2 linked regions of the Drosophila melanogaster genome follow. The protein of the gene in region 1 purifies or fractionates together with the protein of each later gene. This does not show direct contact. Each region holds a gene or a part of one and is shown on either strand. Other genes may lie near its edges.

Region 1 (9,554 bases):
TCTGCTAGAACAACGTCTGGAGCACCCACCCTCCAGTTTGGTTCACCAACCAAACTAATTTTCAAATTTTCGTGATGGTTGTTTCGCATAAATGTACTGCAATATATTTCACTACCTAACCAAAGACATTAGAATAATATTCTAGTGACTTTGACCTAACTATGTATAGAAATATATTTCCATAAAAACATATTTAAATATTTTTTCAGTTGTCCTTTTTGTTTAACTTATAAGGGCAATTTTTATTCGATATATATAACTAGAAAATGTGAAATAAAGTTAAGATTCGATTTCTCATTAATCATTTTTCTTGTGCAAATTTTGAACAAAACTGTCGGTTTTCTATCGTCTAAAAAATTATGAACAAAATAGAAAAAGTTAAAAACTTTTTCCAAAAAAAAAAAATTCGAAATTCTTAAAATTATAGGGAACTATAAAAAATGTTTAACGCAACATTATAAGTGCATTAGATAGCTTAACAATTTTTCAACGTGTTATTTACGATTTAATGAATCTGTCTTAATTCTTTACTCTTTAATCAATACTCGGAAATTTCTTTGGCCTGGTCTTAAACACCGAGTATGTCATTGTGATCCTCCGCGGGATCCACTGGCTCTCGCTTAAGGTTGTCCAGCGAAAAATCATCCGCAGCAATAGTGGCTGCTGTCTCCGAGGATTCAATTTTATTTCTCTGCACCGTCTGACTGGCCTGCTGAAGAAGGTCCTGAAAGGAGGTTTTGGTATTAGCCACCACCAAGCTGCGCTTCAGCGCCGAGGTAGGCGAACTTTCTTCGCCGTTTACAGAGGCCGTTGCAGCGGGCTTGGGCTGGGCAAAGTCATTGAAGGCAGATCCTTGCACACTGGCAATCTGCGGAGTTTTCTGAAGCAGGGAGGCACCGCCAGTGGGTGAGATTTGCTTTTGGTAAGCAGGAACGCAGCCCACAGACTTCCTCACTAGTAAACTGCTGCCTTGCGATGCAGTGGTCATTTGACTAGCACCTACGGCAGAATACCGAGGGCGTTGGGTAGGTGGCACCATTCCATGCCCAGCTGCTATCAATCGCCGCTTAAGCATAGACGCTTCCATAGCGCTAGCATTGGAGTTTATGGTGCTGCCATTGGCGGAACCTTGGCTAGCGTTTTGGGCATTGGGTGGATTGCTGCTACCGCACACGGAATACCTCCTGGACATGGCGCGGATATTCTCGGAGGCAGCTCCCTTGGCCGTCGTCGGTCCATTGCCTTGTCCAAAGAAACTGTTGATCAATGAACCCTGCGGCCTTATAGCAGCCACTACAGCAGCTCCTTTGGGACTGCCTGTTGGGGCGTGGTTGGCCACCTTGACCACACTATGGTTACTGTCAACACTATCCTTGCGCAAAATTTCCTGAGTGGCACTCAAGTTGCCATTCGGTTTACCACCCATAGCCGCTAACCTGAACAACCTCTTATCTAGTCCACCCGCCGGGCTGGTGGGGGCGATCTCTTGTCCAGTGCCTGGCTTGTATACCCTCTGAATGACTTGGCGTGTCATATTTGTTCGGGGTCCTCGCTGTACCTCAGGAGCAATTCCACTGCGGGAAGCTGTAGCTATAGCTGTAGCTTCTCCTGGCGGTCTAATTAGGGTAACCTTAGCCGCGCTCACCATGCTGACTAGCTCCCTGACCAATCGAAGTTCCGGATCTGTAATGTGCTCAAATCCTGAAGGAGTGTTTATATTAAAATGCTGCAGTTCTTTAGACGTTGGGAAATCGGTAGCATCATCAAAGGTTTCCATCAGCGCTTGGAATACTTTCTTCTTAAAGTGCATCTTCTGACGGGGGTTCATTTCCTGCATCTGGGGCTTGATCATTTCGAGAAAGTAATTATCGGAGAAAGGATTCTGGACTCCGGTTTGAGTGCCTCGCTCAGTCATTTTCAATTGGGTTATACTCTTTCCGACCGGAACGGATGTTCCAGCTGTGGTGGTTGTGGGTATATTAGTTATCACCGCACCAGAGGCACCAGTGGTGGCCTTGCTGCTGCTGCTGGTGCTAGATGAATTCGGACTGTAGCTTATTACATTAACGTTTTCAGTAGTTTTGATGCTGTTGTTACTGGTACCTTTGGTAATGGTATTAGTAGTAGCGGTGCTGCTGCTTATGCTAGTAACGACGTTGCTTTTGATAGCAATATTATTTATGTTACCACTCGCGACGGAGCTGGTGGGCTTGCCAATGGTCAGGACTTTGGTGTTTATGGGCGACTGTGGCTTGGTCTGCGTTTCCGGCGCAACTATTCGCTGCACCATAGGTAGCTTCTTGGGCGGCCTACCCACGGACCTCCTTTGTGGTGGACCAGATCCCTGCGGGTTAGCGATCGCTTCATCGGTCGTCGGAAAGATCAGCGTCTTCTGCTGTTGTTGAGTCTTGAGTTGGTTTTGATTTATATTCACAACTCCAGATGGCACCGCAGGTCTCGGGAAGATGTCATCCCGATGACTGATTTTCGTGATCTGGACTGGCCCGGATGGCGGCTTGTTGATCGGCTGAGACCTGGGGACTGGAGTCATTTTCACAGGCGATGTGGAGCTCCTTACACTGTGTACAGCCGCTAAACTCATAGATTTCCTGCGCTGCAATCGCGTCATTCGTTGTGCTTGGCCTGGTTTCTGGATCGGTAAATCCCTTATGCCAGCGAAACTTATTGATGCACGGGCTGCGCGACGTGGACGTCGGGTTGGAGAAGTAGTGTCGCTGCCTGTGACGCGTTTTTCACCATCCCTACCATATTCATCGCCACTATCTTCCATAGCCGTTTCCAGAGGATCCCCGGAAATAGATTTTGAAGCCTTGGATTCAGCAAACGAAGACGTCGAATTCTTTCTGCCAATAATTAGCAAACGAGGATCTCTGGTTTGCTTGACAAAGAACTCCGGCTGGCTAACAGTTGAGTCGGTGTTATTCTTCTCTAGAGACTTCTCCGGCGTTAACTCCTTTTCCTGATTCGATTGTTCCAAGTCAAAATCGAAACCTTCCAGATCTTCTAGGTGCTCCTCGTCCATGCACTCGTCGTCTTCATTATCAGACTGCAGAAAACTATCGAGTTCAGGAACCTTCTCTGGTTCGTCCGATTCCTCCAAATCATTCAGCTTCTCTTCAGCACTTTTCTTCCTAGATCGCTGTTTATCTCCAGGATTTTCCCAATTTTCTCTCTTGTCTTGGGACGATTTTTCCTTACGAACTTGACTTGCCAGCTTGACCTCCTTAACTAACTTGCTTGTCGATGATGCGCGTTCTTTTAATGACGCCTGAGCATGATGATCCACGCCCTCGCTGTCTCTATTGTTATCCCTGTCCTTGTCCGATGATACGCTGCGGTCATCGTCGGCAGCCATGTCGTCAGCTATGTTTAGATGGCGGTCCAAAAAGCGCAGCTCATCGGCCAGCGGATAAGCCAAACGACGCTGGCCATTTCGTCGCCGGTTGGCGTCGGCGTTGCACCAGCGGGTATAGTCATTTCGCAGCTGACGCCAGCGTCGCTTGCATTTTTCCACTGCAAGAGGGAACAAGAGGGAAATGATAAGGCTAGGTAAGAAGATATGATACGTAATATATATCAGGCAACAGGTAGCGGCCCAACCTTTACTTCTCAATAGCATAACACCCCCTGATTGCCCGGAAAATTCCACTTTAATCTTAGCTCATAAAACTTTGTGTGCATTTTACATGAACAGGTAATAAGAGCTCAGGAATGCTTATTAATAATGGGAAGAGACACTAGTTAAATTATTTTTAATTTCAAAAAACCAACATTGTACATGGTTCCGTAAATGCAAGTTTCGCTTGAAAGTATGCTATGTATGAATATCTAAATGAGTATAAATGAGTATTCGGTGGCGAGTACATGCACTGCAGTTTATATATAATTTTTTAGCTGCCTGAAGGTAGCAGTATTTAATAATTAAGCTATACATGTATGTAAATTTTTAAAAATAAAAATAAAAGCACTGCAGTGTGTAACTGCTAGTCACAAAATCGGGGCATCCAGTACGCACCGCGAACCCTGAATCACGGGTCCTACAACCCGGATGGCACATTACTTGTTTTTAATAAGAATACACTAGATCTTGGAAATATATATAAATTTTGGATTACATTTATTAAAATCGAAAAACTATATTTTCAATACCAACAGTCGGAAAATGATTAGCTAATTAATGGTCTTAATGGTCTAAATATGGTCTTCGGTATTAGATATTTCCATATTATTTTTTAATTGATCAAATTCGTATGGCTCTTTCCATTGGAGGAAGTGGCAAAATTGATTTGGAGTAATAGACAAGAAATTCTTAGCTTCTACGTGCCAAAACTGCTTCTTAGTTATCTGCCTTTATACTCGCCGATTAATATGGTTTGTAACAGTATGTAACTAACTACGCTGCGGAAGGTTATTTTCAATTACCGCGGCCAAAATCTGACAAAACTGACACATGAAATTTTGTGTTCGGTGCCATTTCAATTCTTGTCCTTGCATAAGGATAGTTCAAATAAAAATCGGGTCATAAAAAATAAGCTTTTTTCTAGCCAAACATAACAATTTTTTAAAGTGATAAAATAATATCAGCTATAACATATACAAGAAAAATTGTAGGAAATTACTTTATATTTTTAAGACAAAGCATTTTTGCAAAAAATTAATTTACAGTGCAATAAATCACCACAAAAACAAATAATAAGAGAATGAATAATGGAAGTGGGAAGCTTTATAATGCATATAGATATGGCATATAGATAGATATTGGGGAGTCAAATGAGAAAATTTTAAAAAAACTGTTCAAAAAGTCAATATAAATTTACAAAACTAATTAAAAATTATGAAAAAACAAACTTTCGCTGCGTCTAAGTCCCTTTAATCTATATGTTTAATTTGAACCTTTTTGTTTCTATAGTTCCTGAGATCGACCTTCATACCAGTTGCATACATACTTTGCAACGAATCCCTTCCAACGTATACCCTTTAAATCTACGAGTAAGGGGTATACAAATTAGAAGCGTCCATTTATCTGCATGACCATACATGACCATATATATTTATATAAATATATATATATGCAGATTTCCGACATACATACATGGGAACGTACATGGATGTACATATCATACATATTTATAAGGCGTGCAGGTTTCCGACGCCCAAACTTCTAAGATACGTTTTAATTTGTTAGTTAACAAAACCTGTAGACATTGCTGAAACACCCTTTATCTGATATCCAAACACATTACTTAAAAAATAGTTGTGTTAAGGAATCGTGTAAAGTTTAGTAAAAGGTGTCAGAAACCACGTGGAAATAATCGCAATCAAATTGAGAATCATACTTAAATATGTACATGCACGTGTGTATGTACATATGTACACTAAAAAGGATTTTTCTTTCTTTTGCGATATATAAATAAAACTTACAGCAAGAATTCTCGAATAAGAAGTCCCCCATCATTGGCAATATTTTTTCAGTTCTCAAATGAAAAAGAGCCAACTTATATTGTACTGCTCGAAAAGTTTGGCCAAAAGATCTTTCCAGGGAAATATATATGGGTCAATCGATATACACCGACAACAAAATCAGAGATGCATGGATAAATGGAACTACCCACTCATAATATACCAATATAATACAATATACCAATTTTCTAAGGTTAAATTTTACTCAGCTAATGGGCGATTAGTGTTACCAGTGTTACCAAAACGTGCAGAAGGATTCAAATCATTTAAAAAAAATTTATAAAGCTAATAAGAATTAAATGAAATGGATTTGGCTACTGAATAGACTAGATATTATTATTTGTCATATTTTGGTTTTTCTGTATTTAATTTATTTATTTTTAAATCCTTCTAAAATAATGTAATATTCAAATAAGACATTTTTTTAATATGAAATAACAAGCTTGTTGGAGAATTATAAATTATAAAATGTTAAATTAAAAAAATAATAATAACAACAAACGAAATAACTTTGTTTAGTTTTTACCATGCAATTATTGCAGTTGCCAAATAACTAATATAAATTACTTTCCAGCTATTTACAAAAATTATGTCACAGCAAGAAGCAATTTCATCCCAAACGACTACGCATTCAACAGGAGACTCGTTATATTCGAATTAATCGATGCCAGCTGCTTTGTGATGGCATACATGGCGCTGCCAACTCGCACACAACTATCGACGGCCGATAATTCGGGGACGACTGACTGTTGTGCGCGCGTTGACGCTGTGCAGCACTGGCAGAAAACTACGCAACGTCGATTGCTATCCCGCTCGCACTCACGACTCACCCGACTCTCCAACTTCGGAGGCAACCATGTCCCAGGCGTTCTCACTCGGCAGGCGCTTCCTATAGTTTTCGTCGGTACGATCATAAAGCGCAGTCTGCTTCTCCACTGACCGCAGCAACATCAGGTTCACCTCAGAGGCGGCGCTCATCGCTAGTTCACTTTGCAAGAATCCAATCGAGAGAGCTCGCTTCGCCAGGAATTTATCGGTTTTGTGTTATGCTACAAACGCAAACGCAATTCACACAATCACAACACACGCGCGCAGCAGCTGAGACTAAAAACGGCGACCGACTGCAGCGAAAACTAAAAGCGAGTATTGAGCACACACACACAGCCAAGTGAGAGTGTGAGCAGAGAGCGGCGCCTTGCGTTGCAGGGAAAAGCGAGTTGGCAGGCCGAACGGTCGTTGACGAGGGTTGACCAAGGTGGCCCCGGATAAATTTATTTTTTACCTGTCGGGCTAGACTATAATATTTTTTTACGTTTATAAATAATGTTTTTTACGCGTTGTTCATAATTCTCAAAACCGCTCAACCTTGTTTTCCAGTTTCTCTAAGATTTGTTAGCATTTATCTTAAAATAAAATAACTTCATTTGACAGCCAATACAAATATGAAATATTTTATTTTGTACATTAATTTAACCAAAATCGTAATATTCTTGAATAATTTTTATAATTTACAACATTTAGGGGTGGTCATTAATTAATTGGTAAATGCGTTGGCAGCACCTCCAGCGATCAAATGGCACTGCCAACACCAACTGCTATACTATTGCATTAAGTCTGGCAGTGCTGTCTACTTTGAGTGAGTGTGCCTTTCATTGTATGTGTGAGATCCAGTGGCATGTCAATTCTCTCTCAGAGAGGGTTGTATGCTGCTCGAATGGTAACCCCCGCTGATTTGCGAAGAGAATGACTACGCCTCTGGCTTTCCGTTTGTTGTGGCTCCTTTCTTTATTTATTTTGCCGGTGTTTTATATTCTCCGCCCGTTAAAGATTCAAATGTCCAATTCGAATCAGTCTAGTGCTCATGTGCTTTAAAATCAAGAACAATTGCTATTTGAAATTGCAACATTCATTTACAACTGCATCACTTGTTGGCAGCAGCACGAAATCGCAGTGTTCAAAGTTGCTAAACACTTGTAATAGCAGCAACTCCGGCGTCCACGCCAACAACTGCCGCGTGCACGGAAGCAACGAGCGGCTTGAGCCCGAACTTAATAAGCCAAAACTCGTGATAAAAGCACTGACATCGATTAATTGGAGCATTTTTAAACCTAATTCACGTAAGTTTAAACGAAAGATCTGGTTTCAGAGAAAATAACTGTTGTTGAAAGCGGAGCAGAGAAGCAAAGTAGCGGCAAACAGCTGTTGCACGGTCAGGCGACACATGTTTCAGATTCGATTTCGGGTCTTCTACTTTAACTCTATTAATTATATTAATTAATTAAATTTGCATATTTAGTTTTTATATATGAAATGAATACACGCCGTCGGTCCATAGCTCCACCACCGAACGTTTACGCCATCAATGCCAAAATATGTCATTTGGTGAAACTACATCCTTGTCTTTACGATCGTCACGATGACAACTACTTGCGGAAATCGACTGTGAAAAATGCGTGGAAGGAAATATCCAATGAGATGCGAAATTCGGGTGGGTTTTTATCTATATTTCGACATATTGCATATTAACTAAATTTACTTTAATTATTAAATTTACATTTCATTAGGAGATGTTTATATTTTTATAAGCACGATTTTACTATGTCGATACATAATATAAAATAAAATATAATCTCTTATAAAATCTTACAATTTATATTATATAAATATTATATAATATTATCTTACAATCTTATTGACTGCTATTGATCATTTCAGTTAAAAGCTGCAAGGAACGTTGGCGCAACATTCGCTCCAGCTATGCCCGCTCAATAAAGTTGCATCACGGTGCGAATACGTACTATCTTAACAGCGAGCTGAAGTTCCTGCAAAAGCACATCACTCCCGGAGTGCCCGTTCCGCTCAGAGGTCGTAGGTCAAGACCCAAGGGACAGGAGGAGCACGACGAAGGGGATCCCGAAACTCCCGTAGAGGCAATCCTCGAGATGGTGCACTCCCCGAGCTTTCTGAATTCGGAGCATGCGCAGAGCCGTCACAGCACCGACCCTGCATCGGCGACGGACGTTGAGGTGGGAGCAATACTCAGATGCATTTTGCTGAGGCCTTAAATTATTACAACCTTGTTTAGCGTTATGAACTATACTTTAAAGTAAAAAAATGATGTATGCTATATTTTTGGTCAAAAGTTAAAGCTGTGCAAATTAGCTTAGTTTTATACTGTGTGCCCGTTTTTATTTCAAAGCTGAAATTTGCATTTATAATTTTAATGATGCAGTTTCCTTTAATTCTTCAGGCAACACAATTTAATAATGAACCATCATCAATCATGGATTTCGAGGACACGGTCCCGGCAGAAATGCGCACAGAGAGCGACAGCAGTGAGAAGGAGGCCAAGGTGGGAGAAATTACTTTATATAGAGTGCCATTGCTTGAATTCCCCAAAGTAACAATCTATTAAGTGCAAAATTTAATTTGTACAGCGTTTATTTATGATTTGTTATTTTCTTATTTCAGACATCAACCCGCTGTATTGAAGCATTGCCAATCATGGATTTCGATGACGCATTCCTGCAGGGACTGCGTCCCGAAATCAAGCACATGAACTTCCACCAGAAGCTGTACTTCAAGCGACGTGTGTACGACCTGCTTGGCGAGATATTCCATTCCGAGCAGTCAGCCTCATCAACCCACCCAGCGCAGCCGCATCCCAGGGAGAATGTCAATGGAACGCTATCCACTACCTCGAGTCTCTCCTCGGCGAATCCACTACAGCACATGGGACTTATGCTGCAGCTGCCAAAGCTGGTGTCCAAGGCATCCAAAGATTTGTAGCTTGCGAACTGCTCATTGAACAGCTTTAATACACTGATATCAAATTTATGTACAGTACATAGGACAAATAACATTTTAAGTTGTTTTTAGAAATGTTCCCATAATGTATAAACAGAAAAATGTGAAGTTGAAACTAAATAAATAAATTTTTCTAAATTTAAAACTAGACTTTTTTGTGAAAACTAAAATTTTTTTGTGAAGGAAATTAAAACAATCCAGACAATTTAAAAAAATTACATTCAGGTTAATTTCATATATGTTGTATGTTTATTTTTAGCAAATAC
Region 2 (6,885 bases), on another chromosome or scaffold:
CTTAAGTACTACTATCAGGGCTGTGCCTCCTGGAACTGGTACTTCCCATACCATTATGCACCCTTCGCATCGGATTTTGTCAACATCCAGGGACTGTCCACGATGTTCGAAAAGGGCACAAAGCCGTTTAATCCGCTCGAGCAACTGATGGGCGTCTTTCCGGCAGCCAGTAGTTCACACGTGCCCGAGCCGTGGGCCAAGCTCATGTCCGATCCGGAGTCACCGATCATTGACTTCTATCCGGAGGACTTTAAGATCGATCTGAATGGCAAGAAGTTCGCCTGGCAGGGAGTGGCTCTGCTGCCGTTCGTCGATGAGAAGCGTCTCTTCAAGGCTTTGGTTCCCTACTATGATCAACTTACTGGAGAGGAGGTGAAGCGAAACAAGCGTGGAGACAATTACCTGTACATCAGCAATCAGAGTCCGCACTACAAAAAGGTGAAGAAAATCAGCGAAAAGGATGATGAGAGCGTTTGCAAAGCCATCTCATTTGACGGTATGCGCGGCACTTTGGGAAAAACCGAACTAAACACTGCCATCAGCGGCGTTCTTAAGTCGCCGATTTCCGGGCTATCGGACATTAATGACAATATAACCGTGACGACCACGTTCAGGGATCCGGAATACGATGAAGACTACATTTTCGAAGCGAAGCGCCTCGAAAACGCCGTAGATCCGCCACAGGTGCTGCCAAATGAGCAGTCTGGTAACAAGCATCGTCCCGTCATCGGTTTTAATAGCCACTTGACCAGGGCCTACGTTCCGGATAGTGGTCACCGCATGCTGAACGCTGGCATAAGGAACCAACAGGGTGGCGGTGGCAATGGAGGTGGAGGAGGAGGCTACGGGCAAGGAGGCGGCTACGGCCAGGGAATAGGCGGAAACCAAGGACAGAGCTATCAGAACAATAGCCGAAACTATAACTACAACTACAACAATAACTACAATCAGCACCAGGGTGGCGGCTATCAAAACAACTACAATAACCGACAGCAGCAGCAATATGGCCACAATCAGAGATTCAACCAGGACAATTCGAATCAGCAGCAGCGCAACTTTAACAACTATAATGGTCCAAGGAACAACAACTACCAGCAACAAGGCGGCAGCAGGCAACAGAATCAGAATTATAGACGGTTTTAGGTGTATCATACAAACAATATAATATGTAGCGCATAACAAAAGTGTAATCCATATTAATTTACATTATTTTTTAATGAAGAAAATATACTGATTAAGGATTTCCAAACAAACTCATGCCAAGTTCTGAGTTTGTTCTTTAAATGAAATACCCATTGCATTTCTATCAAAGCAGCTTACAGCCAACATCTAGTCTTAGTGCCTCAAAGAAAATAAGTCAAATTACAATAATGATCATTTCTCTTTCCATTGATTGCGTAAAAAAAGCAAACTAGCTGGATAATACAAAAAAATGAGACGATTGTTATTTTCAGATAAGGAAAATGGAACATAATTTGACAGGAAATTGGATAATATCAAAACAATTTCTAGTGGAGTAAACAATTGAATTTAAGAAAAACTTCGCAAACATTTTGTTTTAAATCCGGAGTCATAATAAATCCAGTAGTTTTTATGGAATAGCATTCGCTATATTTAACGAATGGAATGTTATTATTTCGATTTCCATGTAACATAATAAATATTTTAATTTCGAAAACAATACTCATTACAACTATGCGAGAATCTTAAAGTTTACAAGGGGCTTTTCTTAAAACGATTGTGCTTTCTTAACAGGGAAAAGTTCACTGAGCTTGAAAAATATATAGATTATATTTACGAATGCTTCAAAATCCATGAGCTTAAACGAAAGCGAATAGTTAGAAATATGTATCGATTATATGAATACGCTTAAAAGGTAACACAATGTGAGCTTAGTTCACGTTCGATTCGGAAGAGTTTAGCTATCGGTTCGGCATCTGTTGCGAGCTTATCAGATATTGGTGATAACGTTCTTGTTGCGATCGGATATGCTGTCGAACTTGCCATGGCTGGAGAATGGCGTGCGCATGCGTCGCGTGAAGCTGCGAAGGCAACGCTGTCCATCCAGACTGTCCGGATTGTTAGTCACCGCAAGAAGATTGACTAAAATGAGTTGCAGAAACGTTAGAAATTGTAAACATCCAGATAACCAACCACCTTAAAGTTTAAGTTGTTATACAACTATTTATCTTATCTTACCTCGTTGCTCGAGCAGTTTAATCTGTTTTTTGGCCTCTCTCAGCTTGTTCATCAGTATCTCGTTCTTGCGCTTCTCCACGGTCAGCTCCAGGCCGAGCTGCAGCTTGCTCTTGGAGTCAACAGCACTCAGAATTCTGCAAATTAAACGAACATTATATGTATTTAGTGTGAGCACATTTATCTTAAATGCAACTAAATATGATTGTCGCTTATACTGTCGACTCAATTTACTTACGGATGACTGAATATAGACTGCGAAGTGGGCCTCTTGTCGGGATAAGGATGCATCATCTGGGCTATGAGCTCGTTAAAATCCCTGCTCAGGCTCGGCAGAATCGGCACCTTGCCATCTCGCAAGTTGTGCCATTCGGGTCCATTTTTAGGCAGCGGACCACCGCCGGCCGCCTCGAACAGCGTGATGCCCAGGGAAAATATGTCGGCCTTGAAGAGATTCGAATAATCCTCGTGAAGGATCTCCTTGGGCAGGTAACGACAGTCTCCCTCCTCGACGTAGGGTTCCTTAACGGAGGTCACGTGTCCCAGGTCGCCGATCTTGTACGTAACCAGATTCTCTGAATGGCGCAGTTCTTCATAGACGCTGTCCATGCCATCGTCATCTTTGGTCTGCTGCGGCTGCACCTCCACCAGCTTGTGTGCATTGGGATTCATGGTGGAGAATATGTTTTCGGGCTTCAGATCCATGTGCACCAGGTCATTTGAATGAATATAGCGTAGGCCCTCTATCACATGCATGAGAACAATCTTTAGCTCTGCCTCACCCAAACAATGATCTTGGATGCGCGCGTGCAAGCTGCCACCATCGCAGAATTCATTCTGTATCAGCATATGATCGTCCTCCGCCCACGCGGAATAGTATCTAACCACGTTATCGTGCTTGCCCAATACAGCATGGGCCCAGACCTCGTTCAGGGCTCTCTTTCTGCAAGCAAATAGATTGTTAAACGACGCTCGTTGCAATAACTAATGAATACTCACTCGAAAGAACTGCCTGCCACCGGCTTCTTACTCTTTTTAATCGCATATATGCAGCCATCTAGTCGATTGACGCATTGGAACACCACACCGAACTCGCCAACGCCGATTACGTTGACTTGCATGAACTCCCGCTTGAAGCGACTGATGTTCGTGTCGTGCAGGGCCAGCCGCTTGGGTGCCTGCTGGTGGATTTCGCGCATCGAGTCGCCCGCCTCCTCCGTCACATCGTCGTCGCAGGCATCACTGAGCAAATACTTTTGCATAGCATTCACGTTCAGGTTGAGGTTTTCGCGTCCGAATTGCGTGCGACAGCGCTTCTTATTGTGAGCCATGAGGCCTAAAAATAAAAAAAATGATTATTAGATTGCTAATAAGACTAAGCTGGGATGGGTTAAAGTGGAGTGCAAATTAAAGCAACGAACTGGAAATTGATACCTTTATTTAATTAAAATATCAAAAGCGAGAAACGTTTTAAACTTACTATCTGGCGTGAAGGGGTTCACATTTGCCGTGTCCTGGGTGGGCAGTTTGCGGTTGTGCAGTGGCAGAGATCGCGGGCGCTCTGACAGGCGGAAGAGGTCGTCGCTGCGCCTGGAGGCATTCACTGCCGCTGCTGCCGCCGACAGATGGTTGCTGCACTGCGTCGTCGACTTCTGCAGGATGGTCTTTGGAGTGGCCGGTGTGCTAAAGAGTCGCAGGGCCCGCACCTTTTGGCATGGCGGCGACATGGACACGTCCCCGTCGCCGCCTTCTTTGCCTATCTTACTGTCCAGCTGCTGCTCCTCACCGGAGGATAGCTTCGGCCGCTGCTGAAGGGGATGCTGCGGACTCGCTCCCTCGGGCGTGTCCTTGTCAAAGTCATCATCGGCGAAGCGGAGCTTGCGCGGATTGAAGACCTGCGGCGATGGCGAACGCGATCTCAGTTCGACGCTTGAATCGAGTGAGGTGACGCTCATCTCGTGCTCCGACTGGCGGAATGCCATTGTTGCTGTAGCTGTCCAGCTGACCACGTTGAAAGACGATTCTGTTCGTTATTTCTGATTTCAGAACTATTTGTATGGAAGCCGGCGGCAGTAAAGTAAAGGCAATAGTTAAAAAAAATGCAAAACAAAACACAAAACAAAATTTAACTGGAGGAATGCTAGTCTAATAATGTGGCCGTACCCGATGCGCAATAAAATACCAGCTCTGACTGAAAAAATACTAAGTAACTGGAAGTGCAGAGTTACCAAACAAACAAAATACTAAACATCTGGCAAAAATACCAATTTAAATAATGCGCACCTACTTCTAAACTGAGTGACCAGACTTGTTCAAGACCGCATAAAGCCCGCCAAATTCAAATGGAAAACAACTAATTTTGGCATTTAATTTATTGATTGAATATCTGTATTTTAGTGTTCAGCGCATTTGCTACATAATTCAAACACACATCTCAAGAATCCATACATATGTATTTTTTTAATACTTAACTATGACATCAATGTATGAATAATTATTATGCACTGTTGCAATACTTAATTATTACGAATATAGAAACACATCATACAGAGATTGGAGTCAAATAATCAAGTTGTTGTGTTGCATAAATTGAAAATTGTGTAAAATTGACATGAAAATGGTGGCGATGCTTCGTCCTCTGCACATTCGAGTATAATTCCAGGGTAAGCAAAATAAAATCCAAGGCAAATCAATTTACATAGCAATCCTGACTAGATCGTTAATCTGCGGCTGCCGATACATTTCTATATCTTAAATTTCCTTCCGTCAAATGATTTTCCGAAGCGCTCTCCTTTGTTCTGCGTGTGCTTGTATTTGTTGTTGTGTTGGAACATTAGAATACCTAAATATGCAAACTCGAGTTCCACTATAAATTAAAACCCTTAACTAATATGGTTTTGGACAACTAAAAACCTTAGATGGATACTGCATGAAAAAGTATTTGGGAATCTGTCTTGTTACACGTGAGGTTGTTTCTTTTGGGAATGAGGATTAGAGTCCAGTGCGTGGAGAGCCCATCTCGCCGGATTCATCGGGGGGTTGCAGCTCCGGCCCTCATCATCGCATGTCGGGCTCCGTCTGCATCCGTTCGCTGTCGCTAGTCCCTTGAAACGGATCGTGAGGCGGACGAGTCACCACGACGCCTGGGCGGCGATCCACGGCGCACCGCTGGCGACGCCGATCGAGATCGGGAACGCGACCGCGGCGATCCCCTAACCCGGTCATCGTCCTCATCCTCATAGCGCCGTTTTGGCGGCGGCGGTGAATCTACCGCTCCACTGCCGTTGCGCTCGTGGTCGCTGTACCTCGACGCCGATCCGTTCTCGTCCCGTCCGTTCGAGCGGCCGGAGCGACGGCCCACCGAGCCGGCGGAGCGACTGCGGGATCGAGTTCCGGACTTGGAGCGAGTGCGCCTGCGTCGCGATGTGCTCCGAGATCTGCTGAATGAGTTGCTTCTGGAAATGAAATGGGATAAATCGTCGTGATTAGCTATCAGGCTTTTCAAAAAACGTAACAATTTAAGCTACCTTATATATGTATATACTAATATACTAATACATTTAAATATATTATAGTGTGCTATATTATTTGAAACATTGTAAGTATCAAAACTAGCTTTTAGCAGATTAAGTTTTAACAGCTTATTGAATAAAACACAAGACAGTATAATATTCTAGAACCTCTCCCAGTTTTAATTCTGCATTTCACATAAAGATCACATGTATAATATAGCTTGCTCAATGCTTGCCGCCCTTCTTTTTGTAGTGCTTGTGGCCGTGCTTCTTGGAGCCCTTCTCGCCGTGCTCCTTCTTCTCCTCGAAGCTGTCGCCGTACTTGTGCTCCTTCTTGTACTTCTTGTGGTCCTCGTCGTGGTGACCCTTCTTGTAGTGTCCGTGGTGCTTCTTGTGACCCTTCTTTTTGCCGCCCTCGTGCTTTTCGCCCTTCTTGTGCTCGCCGTGCTCCTCGGCATGATGATGGTGCTCCTTTCCATACTTCTTATGATGTCCGCCCTTGTGCTCATCATCGTAGAACTTCTTCTCCTTGATGTACTCGTCCTTTTTGAACTTCTTGTGGTATTCTAATTCCTTGTGACCCTTCTTGTGCTTCTTTTTGTGATGATGTTTGCCGCCCTTCTTGTGAGCGCCGTGTTCATGCTTCTCACCATGCTCATCCTTCTCATCGTAGTGTTTCTTCTTCTTCGATCCCTTGTCGCCGTGGTGGTGCTCGTGGTCTTCCACCTCGTGGTGCTTCTTCTCGTCCTCTTCCCATTCCTTGTGCTCCTTGTGTCCGTGCTCACCCTTGTGCTCCTCGTCACCGAACTTCTTCTTCTCGTACTTGTCGCCACCCTCCTCCTCCTCGGATGATGAGGCCTCCTTCTTCTTGGCTGCCGCGTAAGTCAGCAGGAGTCCCAGGACCAGCAGCAACTTAAAATGACCATGCATCTCGCATAGTTTTCTCGTTCAAATGGCACCAGTTGCAATCGCATTTATATACCACGCCGTTGACCACAAAATGGTCAAAATGACTGGGCCTGGCATCATGATGCAAGCAATTGGGGCTGACGTAAAAACTTTCTGCTCCATTGGTCCCTTTACCGCAGTCAAACGTACTTTTTACCTCGCAGCGAGTGACGGATTGGCCTCCAAAATTGGGAGCTGCTTTTGAAATATGTTGCTAAGCTTCGCAGAC

Evidence for each region.
Region 2: the proteins of stwl (region 1) and Wee1 purify together in Drosophila melanogaster (affinity purification with western blotting; one study listed by BioGRID). This does not show direct contact.

The regions. Positions count from the first base shown.
Region 1 is NT_037436.4:14,403,304-14,412,857, forward strand, and holds the start of stwl (stonewall), read right to left. Parts: upstream 6,637-9,554; 5' UTR 6,460-6,636; coding exon 6,312-6,459; intron 5,544-6,311; exon of another isoform or gene 5,477-5,543; coding exon of another isoform or gene 5,443-5,476; intron 3,535-5,442; coding exon 569-3,534; 3' UTR 1-568. Other genes in the region: CG3919 (uncharacterized protein), read left to right, coding at 7,792-7,969, 8,197-8,507, 8,732-8,881, 8,953-9,270.
Region 2 is NT_033779.5:6,909,750-6,916,634, forward strand, and holds Wee1 (Wee1 kinase), read right to left. Parts: upstream 4,390-6,885; 5' UTR 4,179-4,389; coding exon 3,677-4,178; intron 3,533-3,676; coding exon 3,196-3,532; intron 3,140-3,195; coding exon 2,435-3,139; intron 2,334-2,434; coding exon 2,200-2,333; intron 2,104-2,199; coding exon 1,952-2,103; 3' UTR 1,341-1,951; downstream 1-1,340. Other genes in the region: Rat1 5'-3' exoribonuclease, read left to right, coding at 1-1,143; x16 splicing factor, read right to left, coding at 5,294-5,651; CG32829 (uncharacterized protein), read right to left, coding at 5,934-6,638. UniProt on the Drosophila melanogaster protein: Acts as a negative regulator of entry into mitosis (G2 to M transition). This kinase specifically phosphorylates and inactivates cyclin B1-complexed CDC2.